Mus musculus: one gene and its partners. The protein of the gene in region 2 interacts with the protein of the main gene of each other region in a biochemical or structural test. Links are inferred from orthologs where the notes say so. Each region holds a gene or a part of one and is shown on either strand. Other genes may lie near its edges.

Region 1 (8,422 bases), on a different chromosome or scaffold from region 2:
GAACACCAATGATCCTGTGCTTCCCGGTAAAGCATAAAGTAAATGAGGGCATGCCAGGTAACACAGTGAGACGCCTGGGCTCACACCCCAGCCCGGCTCATCTTTCCCCTCTGAACTTGGACAGTCATGTCAATCTCAGTAAGTGGAAAGATGAAAGTCAGTACTTTCTCTGACCTCTCTGCTTGCTTTCCACAGTTCTGCCAACCTGGAGGAATATTAATGTCCTGTTTTACAAAAGTCAATCATCCCTGGCCAGACTAAATGAGACTGAAAATTTTAAGTGATAAACAAATGGTGCTTCCCACTATTTCTGCCTGAGACTTGATGAAGCCTGTTATCACTGCCCCTAATACTCAAATAACCTGTCTGCAGTAGACATGTGCCCAGAAAGAAGAGAAAACTTTCCCCAGTGTAGGATTCCAATGCAAGTCAACTCAACTTTCAGGAAGACTGGCACCTCCATCTTCTCTGTCTCTCTGGCAAGCTTCAGAAGCCCCTAGCATAGCATCCCCTCAAGCTGGGAGTGCCAAACGACAAGCTCAAGACGGAGCTTAGGGAGGCCTGTGAGTGCAAGGAGACGTGCGGAAGCCCCAAGCAAATGACCATGCGCCTGGAGTTGCTCCAATATGTTGCAAGTGCTAAGGGAGGCGGCAGAGGGGGGGGAGGCGGGGGGGGGGGGGATGCTGTATCCAGTAGCACAAGTGACTCTCACCGCTGCAGGAGAAGCCATCCCGGTGCAGCTCATAGCCCTGGTTACAGCGACACAGGAAGGTCCCATAGGAGTTGAAGCAGCGCTGCTCACATGGGGCTCCCATGTCACACTCATTCACATCTGAGGGTGCGAGGACAAACAGGAGGGTGAGAGCAGTGTCACGCCCAGACCCCCCCAAACACACACACACACTCAACTTGGGCTCAAGAAGAAGATCCTGCCCCCACGTCACACATCTCCACCCAGGATCCCAGAACCTTGTCTGGCACAGCCTCACCCACACAAGAGCGGTTGTTAGGTCCCAACTGGAAGCCTGGCTCACACTGGCATCGAAAAGAGCCCGGCAGGTTCACACATCGATGCTGGCAATAGCGGTAACGACACTCATCTATGTCTGAGATGGAGGTGGGGGAGGGAAAGTAGAACACAGGCCAGGTGGGGCCTGAGTTGGCTCACCTCGGCAACCACCCCTGCCCGCCCTCGTCAGCGAGCTGGGCTGAGTCACCCACATTTAATCTTCCGTGTCTAGTGACAGGAGTGCACTAGTAGCAGAGGACTGGGGTGAGGTAAGGCATCAGACCAGGAGCCAGACCAAGGTCACAGAACAAGAACCTAGCAGAGCCACTCAGAACTCACCCACACATTCGGGTCCAATTTTTCGGTAACCATCAGGGCAGGTGCACTGGTAGGAGCCAGGAAGGTTATGGCAGTCCTGACTAGGGCGACAGTCATGCAAAGCCTGGGTACACTCGTCCACATCTGTGAGAGACAGCATTCAGCCTTCGCCTGGAGGCCCCCATATGCTCCTGACCACGTGAGGGATCTCAATTCGGGAGGAGGCGGACTGCCCTAGACTCCATTCACATGGGCACGTGGGTGGTTGGCACTAAATCATGGATGTGTAATTCAGATCATCCCAATAGTACAAAAAAAAAAAAAAAAAAAGAGTCCACCAAGGAGTCACTAGGAGAAGTACCCACTAGGAGAGCATATTAAAATAAGGCCTTGTGGGGTCTGGTGGCACACACCTTTAACTCCACCACTGGGGGAGGACGTGGGGGGCAGAGGCAAGAGGATCTCTGTGGGTTCCAAGCTAGTTGTAGCTAGAGCTACAGAATGAGACACTGTCTTAAAAATAAATAAATACACAAACAAACAAAACCTTGTCCATTTACACCCCTCAGCTGACTCTAGGGCCAGGATCTTTCCTCCTCCAAGGCCAATGGTTCCCAAGGCTGACTCCAGATCAAAAAGCTGCCAGAGGCTGCGAGCAGAGCTCCTGTGTCTGTACAGGAAATGAGGGGCTGCCAGGGCCTTCCTGGGCCTGCAGACCATGCTAAGCCTGCAGTAGATGACGACTTGGATCTGTCTCTGAGGAGCCAGGGGGAAGAGGAGCATGAGGCCTGGGGATTTTATAGGGAACATTACTTTTACTAATTAATTAATTAATTAGCTCCCTTTTTGAGATAAGAGCTCACCCAGCTCAGGTCGTCCTCAGTCAAAGCCCTTACGGTTGAGGGTGCCCTTTACCTTCAGGTCTTCCTGCTCACATCTCCCCACTGGTGGGACTACAAGTGTCTGCTACCACACAGACCACAACTAGCTTGGAACCCACAGAGATCCTCTTGTTTTTGTGATGGTGGGGATCAAATCCAGAAACTGTCTCAAAATCGCCCCCAAAAGAAAACAAAAAAATAAATAAAAAACAAAAACAACAACAACAAAAACTAGGGAGGACCAAAAAGTGCTACTAGAAGATGAAAACAAACAAGAATGACATGTGCCAGGAGATGATACCATGATGGAACGCATTACTTTGTACAGTAAATACAAAATTAGTTTAAAAATTAAAAAAAAAAAAAGTCAGGAATGGTAACACACGCCTATAATCCCAGCACTCGGGAGGCAGAGGCAGGCAGATTTCTGAGTTCGAGGCCAGCCTGGTCTATGAGTTCCAGGACAGCCAGGGCTCCACAGAGAAACCCTGTCTCGGGGAAAAAACTCATAAACCGCGTGGAAGCCCAGACACCCGATCAGCCCTTGCTTACCCACACAGCTCTCCTGTTCATCAGGCTCGTAGCCCTGCGGGCAAGGGTTTGGTTGTTGAGCATGGGCCGCTGGCGGTGGAGGTCCTTCACCATGGAGATCACTGATGACGGCAGCAGAGCGAGGCAGACACAAATAACCCCCGTAGTGGTTGATGCATTTCATCTCACCCTTGCAAGCCTCCGGGATGGTCAGGCACTCGTTGACATCTGCAGAGAGGGGCCTGCTGGGCACAGCCAGTCACCTGGGCTGGCCCTGGAGGTAGTGGGAGGCAGATGCCCAACTTGGCCTTCTCTAAGCTGAGCAACAGAGCAAGACTTTCTCTCTGCTAGGCAAACTAAGGCTGCTGACCCAGAAGCCCTGCCAGGGATTGGCAGGACTGGGAGTGGGGCCCCCTGTTTCACACTGGTATCTCCATTCTCCTGCCTCCTCAAATCCCTGCCTCTACCTTTGCCCAAGAGAAATTTTGCGGGCCTGCCGACCCACGGGGCATGCACGGCTCTCCCAGGCTGCATTGGGATAAAGAGCTGGGCTAGGCAGGTACAGTGCAGTCCAGGGAAGGTGTGCGTATTTCCTTCTCTCTGGGCAATAGCCAGGTGCTCCCTTCCCTCCTGCAGGATAGAGGCCGTTTGTCCAGCTTCTTGAAGGGGCAGGGCTCCTAACTGAGTGGCACAAGGGAAGCATGGCTGGCTACCAAGCTGGACAGGGAAAAGGGCCATCAAGTTCCTGCAGCAGCTCTGGGAGGTAAGGTATCCCTGGGAAACAACAACCCCCTTCCCAGTTCCTGAAGATGGCTAGTACCCCAGACAGAGACTCACCCCGGCAGTGCTGGCTGTCTGCATCCCACTCATAGCCATCTGTGCATTCCTGGAAGGGAACCCGATGTGGCCAGTGACCACCCTGGCTGTCTCCACCAACTAGCCAGGCCAAGACCAGGGCCAGAGTTCAGAGTCATGCTCGGGTCAGCTCCACACAATGGCCTCCAGCTTTCCACCAACCAAGCCGGGGAGAATCTTGCCCAGAAGCAGCCTCCCCAGGATCCTGATCTCACTGTCCTTCCCATCCCATCCCAAGCTGGTGACCCCACGGTCCCCACCGTGTAGCTGTCCGGCTCCTCGGGATCCTGTGGGGACGCTGCTCCCAAGAGCAACAGCAGAAACGCCCAGAGCAGCAAAGACCCGGGGAGGCAGGAGGCAAAAGGGAGCATCCTGAGGCTGGGAGGTGGTGGGCAGAAGTCAGGGGTTTCTGCCACAGCACCCCCCATTCCCTCTATCTGGAAGGGGAGCCTGGGTCCCAGCTGTCTCGTCTCAGGACTGTGCTGAGGCTGGAACCTTCCAGGGCTGGGGACAGAATCCTTTCGCAGGCCTATGGCCCAGGCCCGCAATCCCGGACCGCCCCGCCCCCGCCCCGCGAGTCGTGAAGCGCAGGCCTCCCCGCTCCGCGCAGCACCGACTCGGCCGCCAAACGGCCCGCGCCCTCCCTCCGCTGGAGGCCACTCACGCGTCGACTCCAGCAGTGCCTGCGGGCGGGCGGACGGACGGACGGACCGCGCAGCTCACTGGACGCGCGGCCCCAGGAAGCGCCCCCCGCCCGCCCGCCGGCCGCGGCCCACCCCGGCGCCTCCGCCCGCCCTTCGGCGGATTCCTGAGCCCGCGCCAGGGGGAGGGACCCCGACCCCCCGGCTTCTCCGCCCCGGCCGGCCACAGGCCCCCACCCGGTCCCCCGCGGCGCTGCCTGGAGTCGCCTGCGGACGCCCAGCCAGAGTTTCCCAAAGTTTGGATCCTTAGGCCACTGACCTTGATGCTTGGCCCCCAAACTCACCTAAGGACCCCGGGCCTTCACTCAAAATGTTATTCTGCCCACCTAGACCCTATCTAACCTGTGCCTCCGGAATCCCATGCTGTGCATTCGCACCTCCGTGTAACCCGATTCTGCGCCTCCCAGAACCTACTAGGCATTTAATCCTCAGAGCTTCAAATTCTACTCCTTTCAGAATTTTATCCAGTGTTAAACCATCATCACTTAGATGATCCTAAAACTTCATCCAAGGTTTCCAGACCCTCGTCCAACTTAATTAATTGTCCAAATTAATTGTCCAATTCCCTCTGCATCCACATCCACGGCCTCCAGGTGGTCTCTTTACTTGGGGTACTGCTTCCCCAAGCCGTGCCAGCGCAAAACTACAGTAGTATGGGGGAGAGGGCAGCAGTATTCTTGGCTCGAAATGAATGGAAGCCCCTGGGAAGGCGGGCAAGCTTGAACTTGGGCGCGGAGGACACTAGGGCCCAGTGCCAGCCCTTTCCCGAGCCTCTTCCCATCCAAGTCCCCCACCCAGTTTCCGCCTCCGCCCCCAGCGGAGATCATGCCTTGGAGGCGGAGTCTGGGTGCCTCCAGCGCCCAGGAAGGGGTGAATGGGCGGGACTTCGCGTTGCCCACGTCTCAAGGCGGGCCTAGACGGGAAAGGGTTGCGTGTCCAGGGTTCCCGTGCCTGGCCCAGACCGCTAGCGGCAATAACCAGGTCTTCCTTAACTTTCCCTTACCCAACCTCTTTCCATCTTGTTTGTTTGTTTGTTTTTGTTTTGTCATTTTGAGACAGGGTCTCACATTGTGTAACTCTGACTGTTCTGGAACTCACTAAGTAGATGAGGCCTCGAACTCACAAAGATCCGCCTGTTTCTGCCTCCTAGGCTCTGGGATGAAAGGTGTACACTACCATGCTCCGCTCTGCCTTGACGTTTAAAAAAAAAAATCTGCTTCATTTCATTTAACTGTCTGAGTGGTAATGTATGTGGTATATTCGTGTGTACCTATTCACCTTATGTTTTAAGACAGGGTTTGTCGCTGGAAATTACTAATTTAGCTAGATTGCGTGGCCAGAGTGCCAGAGTGGTCTGCCAGTCTTCACCTCCCTGGCCCTCTAAGGGTTACAAACCTGCATCACCACTATAGCTGGCCTTTATGCTAGGGCTGGAAATCTGAACCCAGACCCTCATGCTGTGTAGCAAGCGGTTTACCCAATAAGACATTTCCTCAGCTTCCATTGCCTTGATTAGAAAAAAGAAAAAAAAATTAACGGGCTGGAGAGGTGGCTCAGCAATTAAGAGCAATGACTGCTCTTCCAGAGGTCCTGAGTTCAATTTCCAGTAACCACATGGTGACTCACAACCATCTGTAATGGGGATTGGATGCCCTCTTCTGGTATGTCTGAAGACAGCAACAATGTACTCACATACATGAAATAAATTAATAAATCTTTAAAAAAAAAAAAAGAAAAAATAAAAAAATTAACTTTTAATGATGCATATACATGTGTATCTGTGTGTTGGTATATACACCCGAGTGCAGGTGTCCACAGAGGCCAGCAGTGTCCCCTGGACCTGGAATTACAGGAAGTTGTTAACTGCCCGATGTGGGAACCAATCTCAGGTCATCCGGAAGAGGAATACTGGAGCCATTTCTCCAGCACTGACTTTTTTAAGCAATAGAGGGTGAGGGGTGTAGCTCAGTAGCATCCTGCTTGCTTAGCATTACCAAGATCCAAAGTTCAATCCCAGGAACTAACTCCTGACACACTAGAGTGTGTGTGTGTGTGTGTATGTACATGAGTGTGTGTGTATGGATGTGAATGTATGTACGTGAGTGTAAGTGTATGAGTGTGTTAATGTGTGTGTGAATGTCTGTGTATGTGAGTGTATGAGTATATGTGAATGTATGTGTGTGAGTGTAGAGTGTTCATGTGTGTGAATGTCTGTGTATGTGAGTGTATGTTATGAGTATATGTGAATATATGAGTGTGAATGTGAGTGTAAAGTGTGCGTGTGAGCTGGGCGTGGTGGCGCACGCCTTTAATCCCAGCACTTGGGAGGCAGAGGCAGGCGGATTTCTGAGTTCAAGGCCAGCCTGGTCTACAGAGTGAGTTCCAGGACAACCAGGGCTACACATACAGAGAAACCCTGTCTTGAAAAACCAAAAGAAAAAAAAAAAGAGTGTGCATGTGAGTGTGTGAATATGTGTTGGAATTCTGAGGTAGAACAAAGCCCACAGAGAGAAGTGTGAGGAAGAGATGGTCCTGAGCAAATGTGTACTGTTGATATTAACATAGTCATGTGAAGGGCCCCAATCACTCAGACCCGTGGGGATGGCAGGGCCTTCTCCAGGTCAGGCTCAGGCGGGGCCATCCATGAGGACAGATGCTGACAGTATGTGTATTTTGAAAGCCCAGATGACTGTAGCCTGAAACTGCTCCCCTGCAGAGATCCCCTAAGGATTAGCTTCAGCTCATATAATGAATCAGCTGAGTTTCCAGGCTGCTGCTGTCTCCCTCAGAACACATGGCCCGTTCCCCGGGTTTTCTTTATGCCTGTCTGTTGTTTCTTCATTCCCCATTGCCAATCAGGCCAATCTCAAAGCTTAATGGGGGGGCGGGGGGCAGAAGAAAAAGAGAGAGAGAGAGAGAGAGAGAGAGAGAGAGAGAGAGAGAGAGAGAGAGAGAGAGAAAGGAAAGGAAGAGAAGATAAATATAAGGAAAAATACCTGGCTTAGTGGCACATAGGAACGAGGTGGATCTCTGAGTTTGAGACCAGCTTAGTCTCCATAGGGAATTCCAGGACTGGCTATATTGAGAGACCCTGTCTCAAATATACATATAATCCTTTCGGGGTTTTGTTTGTTTTGGGGGGGGACTTTTGTTTTGTTTTGTTTTTTGTTTTTGTCTTGGTGTTTCAGGCAAAGTCTCTTTACATAGCCCTGGCTGTCCTAGAACTCACTATGTAGATCACACTATTCTCCAACTTAGAGATCCGTGGGTCTCCGCTTCCTGAGTGCTAAGATTAAAGGTGTGCACCGCCACACTGGCTTACATATATATTTTCTTAAAAGGTAAATTGCAGCTGGGCAGTGGTAGCATACAACTTTTATCTCAGCTTGAGAGAGGCAGAGGCAGGTAGATCTCTGTGAATTTGAGGCCAGCCTGGTTTACATAGTGAGTTTCAGGGCAGCCAGAGCTACACGGTAAGACCTTGTCTTGAAAACAAAAAGACAAAACAAACAATAAACAAACAAAAGAACCAAAAGGGCAAGTTGCATAGTAAGTGACTTACATCTCAGTTAATCTGTTTGTTGTTCTTGTTTGAAACAGGGGCTCTTTTTTTTTTTTTTTTTGATTTTTGAGACAGGGTTTCTCTGTGTAGCCCTGGCTGTCCTGGAACTCACTCTGTAGACCAGGCTGGCCTCGAACTCAGAAATCTGCCTGCCTCTGCCTCCCAAGTGCTGGGATTAAAGGCATGCGCCACCACTGCCCGACAGACACAGGGACTCATATATATAGCCCAGGCTGGTCTGGAACTTTTTAGGAAAACAAAGCTAGTCTTGAACTCCTAGGGAGCCTCTTGTCTCAGTCTCCTAAGTGCTAGAATTACAGGCATGAGCCACCATAACCACCTAATTAAGCTGTTAATAATGTTAAGTAAAAGTCCTGATTATTAAGCTCTAAGCATCCTGGGCACTGGCAAGGACACACTACAATTCTCTTGTCAAGCCAGAGACGAGATGTCATTGCTACCCTGCTTCACAGATGAGAAGGGCTGAGAGATTTGTCCCATGTGCCACCAACATAATGAGAGGACTGTTAGAATTCCGATCCCGCCTGAGCCGTGGCTGGGCGTT
Region 2 (7,678 bases):
TTTTGTTTTGTTTTTAAAAGCATGTATATTAAAATACCTCTATCAGAATGATTATAATTTGAAAGGATCGTTCTACAGTATCAAAACTGAAATGCTAGCTAGGGCAAAGAGGTACATCGAAGAAGCAATCCTGTGGATCAGAAACCAGCTCAATCAGAGTTCTGCCTGCATTTGCTTATGGGTAAGTGTGCTTTCAGGCAGATGAGAATTATGTGTACCGCGCTATCCACCCCTGGCGACTGCCCATCTCTGGCCCCTCCCACTTGCTCTGCAGCAATGAGTCTACAGCGAGATGATTAGAGACTGCTGCTCTTACAAGTCTATGACACGTGAGTCAGGATCCCAGCTCACTTAGAAAGCTCTACCTGACACGTTCTACCACAGGAGGAGATGCCTTACTTGAGATTTTAACGCTGGTAAATGAAGTACGACTTCGGCACAAGCACCAGGAATTTAAAAGTCTAACTTGATTTCTTTCTGCACCTTCTGAATGTAAGAGTCTCCAAATCCCACTGCTACACACAGTTTCACAGTTTTACGTAAGGTCACAGCGGTCTCGTTGTGGTGCGTGCTCCTTGGTTTTTGCAGGAAGGCTCTGCTTCCCTCTTGTTCGCCAACCTCTCAAGTATACAATGCTATGTGCTTCGCTAATTTGGGTTGTATTTTGTAAATACACAAAAACGTATATACCCAACTCCTGAAGAGTCTAAGATGATGGTGCTGCATTGCACACAGTAGGTCATCTATTACGGATGGTTTTATATATATATAAATTCAACATTCTCCTTAATAGCTGAACATTTCAGAAGTGTAGTAGAGTTGAAAAAAAAATCTAAAAGGTTTTCCAGTATTTTCTTTTGACAGTATTTGAAAGATGATTGTGATGTTAGAGATTCCTTGTATAATTGCTGTGTCAGCAGTGACTTAATTCTGGCTAACAGTAAAATATGCTGCAGGGCATGTTAGCTCTCCACTGATCACAGCTGTTGGTCATCGGAATGATTTCCCTATGCCGTGAAACCTCACAATGGGGATGTGCTGATTGTCACATTAGACATTTCTGCCCACAGAAAAGCTAAGCAGCGTGGGATCGAATAGCAACAAGTATCAAACAGGATCTTGGAATTTTCCAATTCATTCCAAAACAAGTTGACTCAAGTCAGAGTGAAATTAAGCAATTAAGAGAAAGGAAATTGTCTAGTAACTCTAAAATGTAAACATAATTTTATATAGGGATGTAACTATCTGAATACATATATCGCCATCTTTCTGATTATACTTCATGACAACAATAGTTAGATGTTTGGCCCTTCCTCAGCACCAAGTGTATCCATTTCTGTTTACACAATAGGGACACCTTTTTAAAAAATCAATCTAAGTCGAGGCAAATATAGGCTCATCATCATTGTTTCACTGGTTTCAGCACTTTAGAAAAGAATCCGTTCAAATTGTGGCTCACTCATTAAAATATCAATTTCTCATTTGCACTATAATTTCAAAAGAACATAAGAAATTCAGAGTTCTTTGAAAGAGCCCACTATGCACCCACAGAATTGAAACACTGCTAATTCACAAAATAACATGAGTAAGGATTTAAAATTTGCCAAATATTGTTGGTTTAAACACTCAAAATCCAGTTATGTCATTTGTTGCGAAAGAGTCCAAACAAAACCTCCTTTGTTGTTTACTGTTTGTCTTTTAAAATATGTAAGTCCTTCCTACTTAAGCTAATCTATAGTTTCCATATGTCCAAACACCAGGTACGGCTTTATCCACTGGGAACTGGGCTTCTTTCTAATACCTAGGTTGAGAAAACACAATGGGACAGGTTATCAGCAGGATAATATCATGAGTGCGCACAACAAATAACATTTTAGTCAGCCTTTTCAAAACTTGATGGAGCAATGTCTCTCTGCCCTAGCAACTATCACCTTGTAAAATTACTATTAGAACATGATCTCACAGTGATCAGAGGGAAGGAATATGACAATAATATGAAGAACATTGCCTGATGTCCACAGCCTGAATGTTTAAAAGGCAAAACAACCAAATAAGTAAGTAAATAAATAAAAATAAAATTGAAACGAGAAAAAGTCAAGCAGGACTCAGGGATCCAGCAACCAAGCCGGCAAGCTCATTCTACGGAACAAGAGTGATACATCTGCCAGGAGGCACAGTCATGGCCTCTGCACCATCTTGCATTTTCCCTTCTCTGTCTCCATGGTTTTTTGGGCCCAGAATGACACATTAATGGGCAGAGATAGGAACAGAGACAGAAGTAGGTATCTTTATGTTGAAATATTGGTCATCATGCAAGGAAGAATCCATTTGGGTGCAAATCATTAACTAGAAAGGTCTGTGAGGAGAAAGCTTTGCAGAGGTGGAAAAGGCCTGACACATCTGGGAAGACTGAGGGCAGAGACTCCAGGAATGGAACACACCAAATTATTGGGTAGATTTTACATCACACCAGAATGGTTTCAAGTATCTAACTGGCATGCAAAACAATCGGTACTAAACTAACAGTGACATGTCATTAGAGGTGGGGAGGGGGGGCCTGTAATGACAGCATGAGGTCACACACAGGTGGCCATCAGACTGTTCACATAGCTTCAGATGCACTACACTCCTGCTCAAAAAAAAAAAATGTCAGATTTTTCATGGTCTTTGGAGAGAAACTCAAAATTCTTAGTTTGCTTTTCAGTTGTTCTGTTGATCAGAGCACAGCTGACAAACCCAACTGGAAGCAGCCTTTGCAAACACTGCCTGCAACTCACTCCTGCCCTGCAGTTGCCCACGAATCTGACCCCTACAATGCAAGCTCCTTGTCAACTCTGCTTTTGTACTTTTTGTACTTGAGAGCCCTCAAGGCTAAACTCACATGCTGTCCTAAAGGCACTCTCCAGTCGTGTTCTAAGGAACACTTTCTATGGAACTTGGAGGTGAAAGTCAGAGTAAGAGGCAAGTATGATTGCCCTCCAGGTAAGGGCTTTTCCTCTTCTGAGCATTTCTTATTTCTCACTCATAGATTAAGTAGGATATTTATTTTATTAAGAATAATTAACTTTGCTTAACGTTATATTTCCATCTGATCAATACTGCTTGTTAAAAATCAAGTACGAACCTCCTTGTAAGAAAGAAAGGAGGAAAGAAAGAAAGAAAGAAAGAAAGAAAGAAAGAAAGAAAGAAAGAAAGAAAGGAAGGAAGGAAGGAAGGAAGGAAGGAAGGAAGGAAGGAAGAAAGAAAGAAAGAAAGAAAGAAAGAAAGAAAGAAAGAAAGAAAGAAAGAAAAAGAAAGAAGGAAAGAAAGAAAGAAACGAAGGAAGAAAAGAATATCATTTGGCTTGCCAAATAATACTCACGGTGAAATTGTGCAGCCTGAGGCATAGGCATGATGTCCTGTGTAGCGAATGTCACAGCGTACAACATTGTTAGTGTAGTCTGATTCAGGCACCAGGTAGCTGGGGTTTACACTGACCTGAACAAGAAAAATAGCACCGTGTGAAAGATTTTATACTTAATGGATACTGTTCTTCCCTCCTATTTCTATAATGCTACAGTGAAATTACTAACAAGGGACTCATCTACATCAAGCAAGAAAAGGAGTTTAGGTGAAGAAGGTAGTTAAACATACTGGAGATATTACAAAAGGAAGTTGTGTAGATCTCCCCAAGTTCTTTAAAAAATCATAACGTAGATTGCTTAACAATTGTTCTGAAAGTTGTCTAAGTACTTTCAAACAGATGGTTATTTAATATTTGAATCCAGAAAAAGAGAGTGGTGGTAAATTACACATCTTCAAAGCCCCTACCTTTAGAATGTAGTTTCCAGGTTGTACATCTGTAATATCAATCCACTGGCAGTCTATGTCTGCCGCATAGGTGTCATAACATCCAGGACTCAATCCCTGAAATCAGAAAACACTTCAAAATTAAACTATAGGATGTGACCAGACTGATTATATGATATTATCTATCAATGAAACCTTGAGTTAGTACCCACAAGAATTGGACACAAAAACCAGAACACACTTTAGCCCATCTTATAATATCTAGTTATTCAACAGCTGCAAGTTTGCAACATGAAGAAATGTGCCCTACTTCTAAAGTCACCAGTAGAAATAGTCCTAAGCAACAAATTAGGCCTCCAGCACCATTCAAAAGTAGCAAACATATCAGGAAGAAATGTCTCACAGTAATTCATTTGCAGTGTCCTATTAGCGAGATTCCCTGCAGTGACCTTCCTATGTTCTGGATGACAACGATATTTTGTCTTGTGTAGCTTTGTAGCATCTATTCTCTTCTGCTTTATATTAAAATCATATTATATAAACCCCTTAAGGATAGGTACAGTCTAATTGCATTCTTGAATAGCTAACATTTATTATTTAACCAAAACCATATATAGTCAGTTCTCACAACTCCAGAACTCAGGTGTGTTTCTGTCTCCATTTTATGGTTGAGAAACCCAAGGCATGCTAAGACCAAATGACTGATTCAGGGGTAAAAGCTGAGCAGTGACTGAGCTTGTTTCAGGATTATATAAACAAGGTCCAGAATACCTTTTCTTAACTATCACATTCCCTCTCTCAAATAATCAGTGAGATCTTTGTGGAGTCAGAAGGACGGATTTTTGCCCAAACTGGTCAAAGCCATATCCGTCCACTTGCTAAGACATTTCCACCAGCAAGTCAATGGGTGTCTCACAAGGCTGCCAGGAGAAAAATGCCAAGAACATACATATGCTTCTTGCTATCAAGAGTCTGCAGAAATTTCCTTCGGTTGGGGCATGGGCATTTTCTTATTTCCACATGAGAACTTTTAACTGTAGCATTTCCATTCTGATAATCCAAAATTGATTAAGAAGCGTATTGCATACCCTAGCAAGATTTTATCGAAAGGACCCAGATGTAGCTATATCTTGTGAGACTATGCCGGGGCCTAGCAAACACAGAAGTGGATGCTCACAGTCAGCTAATGGATGGATCACAGGGCTCCCAATGGAGGAGCTAGAGAAAGAACCCAAGGAGCTAAAGGGATCTGCAACCCTATAGGTGGAACAACATTATGAACTAACCAGTACCCCGGAGCTCTTGACTCTAGCTGCATATGTATCAAAAGATGGCCTAGTCGGCCATCACTGGAAAGAGAGGCCCATTGGACTTGCAAACTTTATATGCCCCAGTACAGGGGAACACCAGGGCCAAAAAGGGGGAGTGGGTGGGTAGGGGAGTGGGGGTGGGTGGGTATGGGGGACTTTTGGTTTAGCATTGGAAATGTAAATGAGCTAAATACCTAATAAAAAATGGAAAAAAAAAAGAAGCGTATGTGACAATCGTTCGAACTTAGCAGTGTCATTTAAAACTGTCTCTTGAGTTTGCTTTGATGCTTAAGGTCATCTTGGTCAACAAAGATAACAAAAACAAAAATCTCGATGTGCTTTACTGATGTGGGTTTGGCTGCAGCTGGATTTGGGAAGAGTAAGAGATGCTGCTGTCCATAGCACAGGACAACATAGACAGGCCAACCCAACATTACTTAACCACAGGAGCAAGAGCCATAATCGCCTAGATTTCCAGCTTGACCAGCTCTCATTTTATGTGTTGAACAGGAAATACAAAGGAAAGAACTTTAAGGTTCTACCACATCCTTCTCTGATTGTGTCACCTTAGGCACTCGGTAAGTAAGTAGTACCTGCTGGTGTCACAATCATTACTGCTATCTCACATAGGACTCTAAATTGTGCACTGGATTAGATAACCATTGCAGACAGGTATAAGTAATACCACTGGCAATTAAAGTGTTTGCAAAACGCTGTTGTTGGCCTATACCTATTGTCCCAAATGCTAGATGACGAGTGTGTGTGTGTGTGTGTGTGTGTGAGCGCATATGCACGAGCCTGTGTGTGCGTGGGCACACATACACAAACTTCTAGCTGACACTATTACTTTATGATTCACCAGCTGGCAGAAAATGTGAATTTTGAGCTTTGCTTATTTGAACTAACAAGCAAATGCCTGAAGCTGCCAAGGCCATTAAGCAAATAGACTTTTCATGTATTTGAAGTCCATTGTGAAAATAAATTGAAAATAGAACTTCATTGAAGATTATCTAAATGTGTTCTTTGGTTTCAATAAAAAATACTTGTCTGCAACATTTGGTCATTGAGTGTGATGTAACTATTTTTAAATTGTGCATATATTCTGTATGTAAATTTATGATCTTAAAACACGTGGTTAGATATACAATATATTCATAAGTTATACCTAGTTAGATGCTTATATACATTTAAGGAAGACGGCACTAGTATAACAAAACTAATAAAAGTCAATATTAGGGGCCTATGTGAATGTTTTTTCTATAAATGAAGTCTGTTCAAAGGACTATTAAAAAACACAAATACGTAAATCACTTACAATGCAAGACCTAGTGAAGAATTTTTAAGGCATGCACAGGAAAGGATAAACAAGAAGGCTACCACATTTTTTTAAAAAAGTGAGATTACACAAGTGAATAGGGGTGCCTCTGCCTCTGTGGCTGAAGTATACACCCTTCCCCTCCCCCAATGCAAGTGTTCTAGCTTAGAGATGATTAACATGTGTCATTTTAAGAATAGGGAAATGCATGCTCCAGGTCCTCTTGGGGTGATCACTGAATGCGAAGGCAATCTCTGCAAGGGTATATGCTTAATATATGGGTGTGTTAGATTTTTCACTTAAAGCATATGTCCTGCCCCTCCCAACGTATGTTAAATATAACTGTTTCCCCGTCTAACCACTTTGATGAGCTAAGCCCAGAGGAAAGAAGAATGGTCACCACATGTAGGTCACCAAAAAGCTTCTGGCCACAGTACTGGAATCTGCTTCCCAAGATGACAGCCGCTGAGGTCTGTGTGCCCTGGGTAATGTATATTCAGGAACTACTTGCCAAGAGCAGGGCTGGAGTAAAATTATAATGTCCTTTTACAAATTAGGGTTGTGGATGGAAATACTGACATAGTTTTTAACTGACCCACATTTTCCAATTCTAAGACATACAATAGCGCTCAACTCAGCACTATTAAAAACAAATCTATCCAAAGGACATCTGACATTAATTACACCGGAGGTTTAAATATACATGTGTGGAATAAGAAACGTGTCTTTCTGCTCTGACTTGCATTATTAAAAGTGATGCTGTTTAAAGTATTTTTAATAACCTGCCTTCAAATCTTTGTTCTAACTTTAGGCACTATTCCATATTAAGCATGAAAATGGAAAACAAAATGGATTTGCAGGTGAGAAAACAGACGTATATTGCCAACAGTTATTATAGCTGATTGAAGAACACAGGATGAAGGCAGATGTTGTAAGTCACTCATGTGTATTCAGAAACTTAACTACTTTTCATTGTGTTATGAAGCAAGGATCCACATTGCCCTCCTGTGATCTCCAGCAGGGGTTACATGTACAGCTGGAAACACTTTAAAAGCAATCTGCACCACCCAGTCATCTCCCTTCTCCCAATCTGAAGTATCCCATGTTGATAAGGTAACCTTAAAATGAAACAAAATATTTTTTAAAAAAGAAGAGAGGAAAGAAAGAAAACAGCAACTGACTTGCTGTCACTTTCCTGGAGGTCTGTGGGCTCCAGATGTCAGGGGACCTGCCTACCTGTGTGTGTGCAGTGCACGCAAAGCGC
Region 3 (7,678 bases), on a different chromosome or scaffold from region 2:
ATTCTACCTCTAAGCCATACTCCCAACCCCTCACAGGGGGATTTTAGGCAAGTGCACTACCAGTGGACCTTAAGCTGCTATTATATGTCTAGTCTTGGGGCATACCGCACACAGGGTAGTTTAGGTAGGGAGACACAATGGCAGAGAGAGGAGAGAGAGAAGCACACATCCACCGTGATGGTAGAGACTTTAGGGAAGTAATTCCTCTCCAGAATGAGAAATGGGTCTGACTATAATATGCTAATAAGCCCTCACCTGGTGGGTTGACAGAGAGGAGAAGACAGGTGTTTAGGTACCTCTGTGTCAGCAGGCAGCCTGGTTCCTGCTTGCTTAAGCTCTCTACCCCTTTGCTTTCAGACATGATCTAACATATCCTAGGCTGACCTTGCACTCACTAAGTAGCTCAGGTTAGCCTTCAACTCATGATCCTCCTGCCTTCGCTTCCTGAGTGCTGGATGACAGTCTGTTTGTCTTCATACCGGCTTTGGTACGCCTCTTTCTCCTTCTCACTTACTCCTTAACTCCAAGGCCTGCAGCTTACCTCCACCAGCTCCCAGTCCACCGGCTCCCAGTCCACCAGCTCCCAGTCCACCGGCTCCCAGTCCACCAGCTCCCAGTCCACCGGCTCCCAGTCCACCGGCCCCCAGTCCACCGGCTCCCAATCCTCCGGCTCCACCAAGGCCTGAGTGAGGGGAGACCCATGCATTACACACACTGTCAGAAGACTCTCATTAAGACCCTGTTGGCAAGGGGTCTCTGAGCTCCCAGTCATCTCTGGGATTCCCAATGGCCAGAAAGTGGCTGGGCCCCAGGGGCTTAGGGATTGGCCAGGGAAGCTGAACTCTTGCTTACCATACTGGGCAGCCTTAGCAGCAGCTTTGGCAGCAGCAGCGGCAGCAGCAGGGGGTGCAGCTCCTGGGAACACAGGGACTCAAGGAGGAACTGCATGGGAGTCTCAGGCTCCATTGCCAGCCAACCCATTTTGGGGACAGCAAAAACATACCTGCTACTCTACCGGGAACACCAGCCCCACCAAGTCCTCCAGGTCCACCGAGACCTCCAGGGCCACCGAGACCTCCAGGGCCACCAAGGCCACCTGCTGCTCCTGTGGAGAGAGGACCCTTAAGGGACAGTACCCATATTTTCATTTGTCGTTTGAAGACCAGATCACTTATAGCTCATGTTGGCTTTGGGTTTTCTGCATGGCTGAGGATGGCTTAGAACTCTTGACCCTCCTGCTTTCATCTCCTAAGTACAGGAGTTTATAGGCATATGCTATATATATATATATATGCCTAGAACTTTGTTCTTTTGACTTTTGTTTTTCTGTTTTTTGTTTTTTGTTTTTTTGTTTTTGTTTTTGTTTTTGTTTTTATTTCCCTAAGACAGGGTTTCTCTGTATAGCCCTGGTTGTCCTGGAACTCAGGCTGTAGACTGGGCTAGCTTTGAACTCAGAGATATACCTGCCTCTGCCTTATAAATGCTGGGATTAAAAGTACCACCACCACCCAGCTACTTTTTTTCTTTTTTAAAAGATTTATTTATTTATTTTATGTATATGAATACACTGTAGCTGTCTTCAGACAGGCCAGAAGAGGGCATCGGATCCCATTACAGATGATTGCTGGGAATTGAACTTAGGACCTCTGGAGTCAGAGCTGGACTTTAGAGGAGTCAGTGCTCTGAATCACGGAGCCATCTCTCCAGCCCCTACTTTTTTCTTTTCTTTTCTTTTTGTCCTAGTGAGATGGTCTCACTAAGTTGCTGAGACGGACCTAGAACTCATGACCTATTGATCCCATTTCAGCTTCCTGACTGCTAGGATGACAGGTAGCATCCTACCTTCAGAGTCCTATTTTTCAAAGATGTGTTCATACCCTAGGGACATAAGGCAGAAATGCAACCTAGACCTGTGGGACTCTAGGCAAGTTCTCTACCAGTGAATCGCAAACCCAGCCCCTCACTGGGGAATTCTAGGCAGGGGCTCTACCACTGAGCCACGCCCCCAGCCCTTCATTGGGGGATTCTAGGCAGGGGCTCTACCACTGAGCCATGTCTTCAAGCCCTTTGCTTGGGAATCTCAGGCAGGCACTCATCTTTCTTTGGATTATTCTTTTCTGAGTCAGGCTCTCGCTCTTTAGGCCATGCTACCTTTGAACCTGAGATTCTCCTGCCTCAGCCTTTGAAAAGCTGGCTTCCAGGTGTGGTCTGCCATTCTAGGCAGTCATACCAGTTTTACCGATGAGAAGGTTGAGGTAAGGAAGGGGTTAAACAGAATGCTGTGTTCAAGGTCCTAAGGGCAGGAAAGGCCCCAGTGGCTGCTCTTCCAGGAGAGCCTTAGTGCGTTTCCCTGGTAAAGTCTGTTGACTAGGGCCAAGAGCAGCTGGCACAGAACCTGAGAGGAAGCTGTGGGTGACCAGGGGCTGTGTGTGTGTGTGTGTGTGTGTGTGTGTGTAGCTGAGGAATGGGATTTTCCGAGGTGGAAATTGGCCTCAAGTAGATAAACTGTGGCCAGTTGGCGCATCCCTGGCAGAGGCCCCCCTGCCTGCCTCTTGAGGAGGCCAGGAATGTGGGGGTCACAGACAGTGTGGGTCTGGCTAGAGTGCCAAGTGGCAAGGCACGCGGGTCTGCCACGTCCTCCAGGCTGGAGTGTATTGGGCAAAGTCATGCTGACAGGAAAGGAGGAAGGAGGCCTGGGGATGCCTGCACAAGGAATATCCATAACCCCACAGCTCCTTGGCCAAAGGGCGGAGTGGAGCGGGGGCTGAAGCTGCCCAGTCTTGTAGGACCAACATCAGTGACATTCCCTCTGTTCCACAGAAACTGTCAGGGTCGGAGTGGAGCTTGGAGTTAGGAGTTGTTGTGGGTGAGACAGGGTATATATAATACAGCCCAGGTTGGCTTTGGACTCTCCCTGTAGCCAAGGGTAACCTCCTGGCTCCACTCTCCAGGAGCTGGGATTATAGGTGTGTACCACCATGTCAGGCACAGCAGGCGTGTTTGGCTGCCACACGGGGGTTAATGGGCAAGTGGTAGGACTATGGCTGTCATTCAGATGTCCCTCAGAATGACTGCTCAGCCCTATACTGTCAAGGCTGGTGGGAGTGACAAGGGGACCAGTTGATGTGTAGCACTCACCATATTTAGCAGCTTTGGATGCAGCCAGCGATCCAGGTACTGTGGAAAAAAGGAAAGCGGTCAGCTGCTGAGTTCTGGACCTGGGGTTCTGTAACCTCTTCCAGGAAGCCCATCCTGACTTCTTCTATCTAGATCATATGTTTTAAAGCCCTGAAACTCTATAGCACTCTAGCCAGGGGGCGGGGAGGGGTCACTTGTAGATACAGGGCTCCAGTATTTTACCCTGACATTGTACAACTGGGACTCTTATGCTTGTCCCTTCTTATACCCTCTAGGCCCAGTGTTGCCTTACTGTGACTGGGCCCATAGTGAGGTTCAGCAGTCACATGATGAAGAACTGGGGTTCCTAGTGACATCCTTGTCCTAGTGCATTTTCAGAAAGATAACAGACTGGCCTGGAGAAAGAAACTTCTACCTTCCTTTCTGTGGGTGTTAGGTGGGCTCTTTTAACTGGTCTACAGCCTCGTTATACCTCCCTCTAAAACCTTACATTCTGGAGTTGTTGGGCATCCCCTCCCTCTCGTACTACCCCATTTGCTCTATTTCTGCTTGGTACTGGAAATAGAACCCAGGACCTCACCCATGCTAGGCAGGGACTCTACCCCTGAGCCATATTCCGGCCTCTCACTGGGGGTTTCTAGGTAGGTGCTCTAACCATTGTGCTACAGTACTAGCCCCTGTTGTATCGTGTCTGTCTGTCTATCTTTTAAGATAGAATCTTACAATATTATGCAGGTCAGCCTTGGAGCCTTTCTACAGGGCAGGCTGGTTTTGAACTCATAAGCCTCATGTCTCAGCCTCCTGAGTAGCTGAGATGGCAGGCCTGTACCCATATGTTTTTGCCGGCTCAGGAAAACCTAATGGATGCTGGGTAGAGATAGAGTCCTGGGAGGAGGTGAGTCCTCTTTTTTTGAGCTCAAGTGTATTTTCTACCAAATTCTAGAATTTTCCTTACCTGCTCCAGCTCCAAATCCAGGGACACCAGCACCAGCCCCAAATCCGGGGACACCAGCACCAGCCCCAAATCCGGGGACACCAGCACCAGCCCCAAATCCGGGGACACCAGCACCAGCCCCAAATCCAGGGACACCAGCTCCAAGCCCAGCGGCAGCTCCTGCAGAGAGGAAGGTAGTAGATGGTTCTATATATGTGGAATGTTGCCCCTGGGAGGCGCCCTAACTCAGGAGCTGAGTCAGACCTCCAAGGGAGCAAAGGCCTCCTCCCCAGCTTAGTCCTCATCTGCCGGCTTACACCAGATTCAATACTTTTATTATTGTGTATCTAAATAATTTATTCTTATTTTATGTGTTTTGCCTGCGTGTTTGTGTGAGTATCAGATCTTGAAGGTATAGACAGTTGTGAGTTGCTATGTAGGTGATGGGAATTGAACCCAGGTCCTCTGGAAGAGCAGTCAGTGCTTTTAACCCTTGAGCCATGTTTCCAGCCCCAGTTCTTATTGTTTTTTTGAGACAAGGTCTTCTTGCTAGCCTGGAACTATATATAGACCAGGCTGGCATCAAACTCACAGAGATCTGCCTACCTCTGCCTCCCAAGTGCTAGGATTAGAGGTGTGCACTACCATTCTTAGCTTTTGGAGAAAATCTATTTAATTCCCACCCATGCCAAGGTCTCGGGTACCCAGGCTGGACTTAAACTGAAGGTACTCTTTTTGTTGTTGTTGTTGTTGTTGTTGTTTTGAGACAGGGTTTCTCTGTATAGCCCTGGCTGTCCTGGAACTCACTATGTAGACCAGGCTGGCCTCGAACTCAGAAATCCACCTGCCTCTGCCTCCCAAGTGCTGGGATTAAAGGCATGTGCCACTACACCTGGCTCTGAAGGTACTCTTGAATTGCTGGTCCCGTTGCTTCTATCTCACAAGCTCTGGGATGGGTTTATAGGTATGCACCACCATGCCTGTTTTAGGCAGTGCTGGGGATGGAAGCCAGGGCTTCGTGCATGCTAGGTAAGCCCTCTATCATCTGAAGCGCATCCTCACCCTGAACCTCTTACATTCTCCTAGTGACCTTCTATGTGTAGCCGTGCCATTGACCCCCACACACTTGATACATAAACTAAAAGAAGCCGGAAGCCACTCAGCTATCTTGGGAACCAAGACTGGAAGCCAGGCCTCCCTCTTGCTGGGTCTGTACTTCTGAGCCCTCTGCTAGGTGACATGGGCATCTTAAAGACAGTAGGGATGGATCTGAGAGGCTGTGTCCTGTGGCTGTGTCCTGTGGCTATGTGCCCTGGCCGGGTGGGGGTGGGTGGGGACAGCAGAGAGAAATCAAAGCGCACTTACTGTACTGGGCTTTGGCAGCTGCCTTAGCAGCAGATTTAGCGGCAGCCGGTGACCCTGCTCCTGGAGAGAGAGGAAGAATATTCAAGATGGCACCCGTGAAGATTCCAGGGAACCCTTAGTCTCACTCAATCCACCATAGCTCACCTCCAAGACCGCCAGGACCAGCTCCAATACCAGTAACACCACCAGGGCCAACTCCACCAGGAACCCCACCAACACCAACTCCACCGGGAATCCCACCAACACCAACTCCACCAGGAACCCCACCAACACCAGGACCCAAACCTAAAAGAGAAGGAATAGTTTATCTGTAATCAAGGCCTAAACAAAGAGAACAGGAGCTGTTGCAAAGAGCCTCAGCTGAGTCAGGAGCTGTGGGTTCCCTTCCCAGCCGTAGTAAAGACTTGCTGTGTGATCTTGGGGCCAGATACTTTGCTTTGCTGGGCCTCTTTTTGCTCCTATGTAATAAGAGTCAGATGTAAATCTAGTAGTTTGTAACCTTTTGAGGGATAGGGATACTTTGGAGGCTGGCTTGAGGACGGTGGAGGACAAGCAGGTTTGTTTTTTGTTGTTTGTTTCACTTTTTTCTTTTTTAGTATTAGAGAATAAATGGGAGGCCTTGAACATGCTGGGTAAGTGTTCTACCACTGAGCCACACCCCCGGCCCCTCCCTGGGGGATTTTAGGCAGGAGCTCTACCACAGAGCCACGCCCCCAGCCACTCCCTGGGGGATTCTAGGCAGGTGCTCTACCACTGAGCCACACCCCAGCCCCTCACTGGGGGATTCTAGGCAGGGCCTCTACCACTGAGCCATGCCCCCAGCCCCTCCCTGGGGGATTCTAAGCAGGAGTTCCACTGCTGCTGCTGAAAAGGTCCCATATTTATTATTATTATTATTATTATTATTATTATTATTATTACCTTTATTATTTACTTTGAGACAGGGTCTAACTAAATTTCTCAGCCTGGCCTTGTACTTTCAATACTCTTGCCTTAGCTCCTTGAGTAGCTGGGCCAAGACTCAGCACCCTCAGCCTATGACAGGACCCCAGCTGAGTTCCTAGAAGTGGAGCACCTACCATTAATCATATTCAGGATTAACACATTTAGGAAATGTATACATTCTTGGGGCTATTGAGGGTGACCTTGACATCTATCAAGAAATACAGCCCATCAAGGGGATAAGGCTGGACTCTAGTTTGAAATTCAGAAAAGAACCAGTCCTAGTTGGACTTGGGGAACCAGGAGCTTTCAGAAGTAGGTTGGGGCAGGTCATGGAGGGCTTGGCAGTCCTACACTGCTAGAGAGGAGCAGATAATCTAAAGGTTTGAGAGCAGCTCATACGCAGGGCTGGGGATGTGGCTTAGATAGTAGAGCGCTCACCTGGCACACAGTAAGTCCTGGGTTCTATCCCCTAGTACTGCATAAACAAAGTTCAGCACTACATGCCTGGAATCCCAGCATATGAGGGGTAGAGACAGAAAGAGCAGGAGATCAAGGCCACCCTTAGCTCCTCAGCAGGAGGTGTGAGAAGCCTCTGGTCTGGGGTCAATGGCCAGGTACAGAAGGGTACAACTTAGCATACTGACCTGCTTTGGCGGCTGCTTTAGCGGCGGCGGCAGCAGCTGCAGCTGCAGGGGTACCTGCTCCTATTTGGATAAAGAGATCATAAGATGAGGCAGCCCTGAGCCTATGGGGATTTCAGTCCTGTTTAGGATGCTCTTACATAAAAATTTCCTCGTAGCACTTTTATCCCAAGCTGTCATAGGAAATGACTCCTTCCTCATCCTTTAAAAAAAAAAAAAAAAAGGCGTCCCCGCACACACACGTTTACAAAAGTTTTGTTGGGCATTTAACTAAGAAAGTATTAACTATATAGATCTGTTTTGCGAAATTTGACTTCTCAGAGGTTTCTTCCCATATATGAGTACAGGAATCACACCATTCAGAGAGGTCCTCCTTGTCTTGTTTCTGATCCTACAATGTACTTGAGGCAGCGTCTCTCACTGAGTTCAGAGCTCGCTGTCTCAGCTATCCTAGCTAGGCAGCTTTGTCTGGGGAGTCCCTGTCTCCATCACCCATATCCTAACAGTACAGGCAGGCCACCATGGCCACTGGATTTTATGTGGGTTCTGGGGCTTTCACCTCTGCCCATCAGACTTATTGCAATGCACACATATGGGTGTCAGAAGACAACTTATGCCAGTCAGTTCTTTCCTTCCAACATGTAGGATTTCAGGA

The links.
Region 1: the proteins of Lox (region 2) and Efemp2 form a complex in vitro, tested with the Homo sapiens proteins (2 studies listed by IntAct, with this or other methods). The link is inferred for Mus musculus from reciprocal best matches to the Homo sapiens genes LOX and EFEMP2.
Region 3: the proteins of Lox (region 2) and Eln form a complex in vitro, tested with the Homo sapiens proteins (2 studies listed by BioGRID and IntAct). The link is inferred for Mus musculus from reciprocal best matches to the Homo sapiens genes LOX and ELN.

Annotation. Positions count from the first base shown.
Region 1 is NC_000085.6:5,470,611-5,479,032, reverse strand, and holds the start of Efemp2 (EGF-containing fibulin-like extracellular matrix protein 2 isoform 1 precursor), read right to left. Parts: upstream 4,344-8,422; 5' UTR 4,259-4,343; exon of another isoform or gene 4,023-4,258; coding exon of another isoform or gene 3,966-4,022; coding exon 3,855-3,965; intron 3,626-3,854; coding exon 3,577-3,625; intron 2,968-3,576; coding exon 2,761-2,967; intron 1,472-2,760; coding exon 1,349-1,471; intron 1,107-1,348; coding exon 990-1,106; intron 833-989; coding exon 713-832; intron 1-712. UniProt on the Homo sapiens protein: Plays a crucial role in elastic fiber formation in tissue, and in the formation of ultrastructural connections between elastic laminae and smooth muscle cells in the aorta, therefore participates in terminal differentiation and maturation of smooth muscle cell (SMC) and in the mechanical properties and wall integrity maintenance of the aorta.
Region 2 is NC_000084.6:52,517,433-52,525,110, forward strand, and holds part of Lox (protein-lysine 6-oxidase preproprotein), read right to left. Parts: coding exon 7,651-7,678; intron 3,907-7,650; coding exon 3,811-3,906; intron 3,478-3,810; coding exon 3,362-3,477; intron 1,802-3,361; coding exon 1,795-1,801; 3' UTR 1-1,794. UniProt on the Homo sapiens protein: Responsible for the post-translational oxidative deamination of peptidyl lysine residues in precursors to fibrous collagen and elastin. Regulator of Ras expression. May play a role in tumor suppression. Plays a role in the aortic wall architecture.
Region 3 is NC_000071.6:134,706,969-134,714,646, forward strand, and holds part of Eln (elastin precursor), read right to left. Parts: intron 7,087-7,678; coding exon 7,027-7,086; intron 5,723-7,026; coding exon 5,582-5,722; intron 5,498-5,581; coding exon 5,438-5,497; intron 4,253-5,437; coding exon 4,094-4,252; intron 3,178-4,093; coding exon 3,139-3,177; intron 1,106-3,138; coding exon 1,004-1,105; intron 916-1,003; coding exon 853-915; intron 683-852; coding exon 542-682; intron 1-541. UniProt on the Homo sapiens protein: Major structural protein of tissues such as aorta and nuchal ligament, which must expand rapidly and recover completely.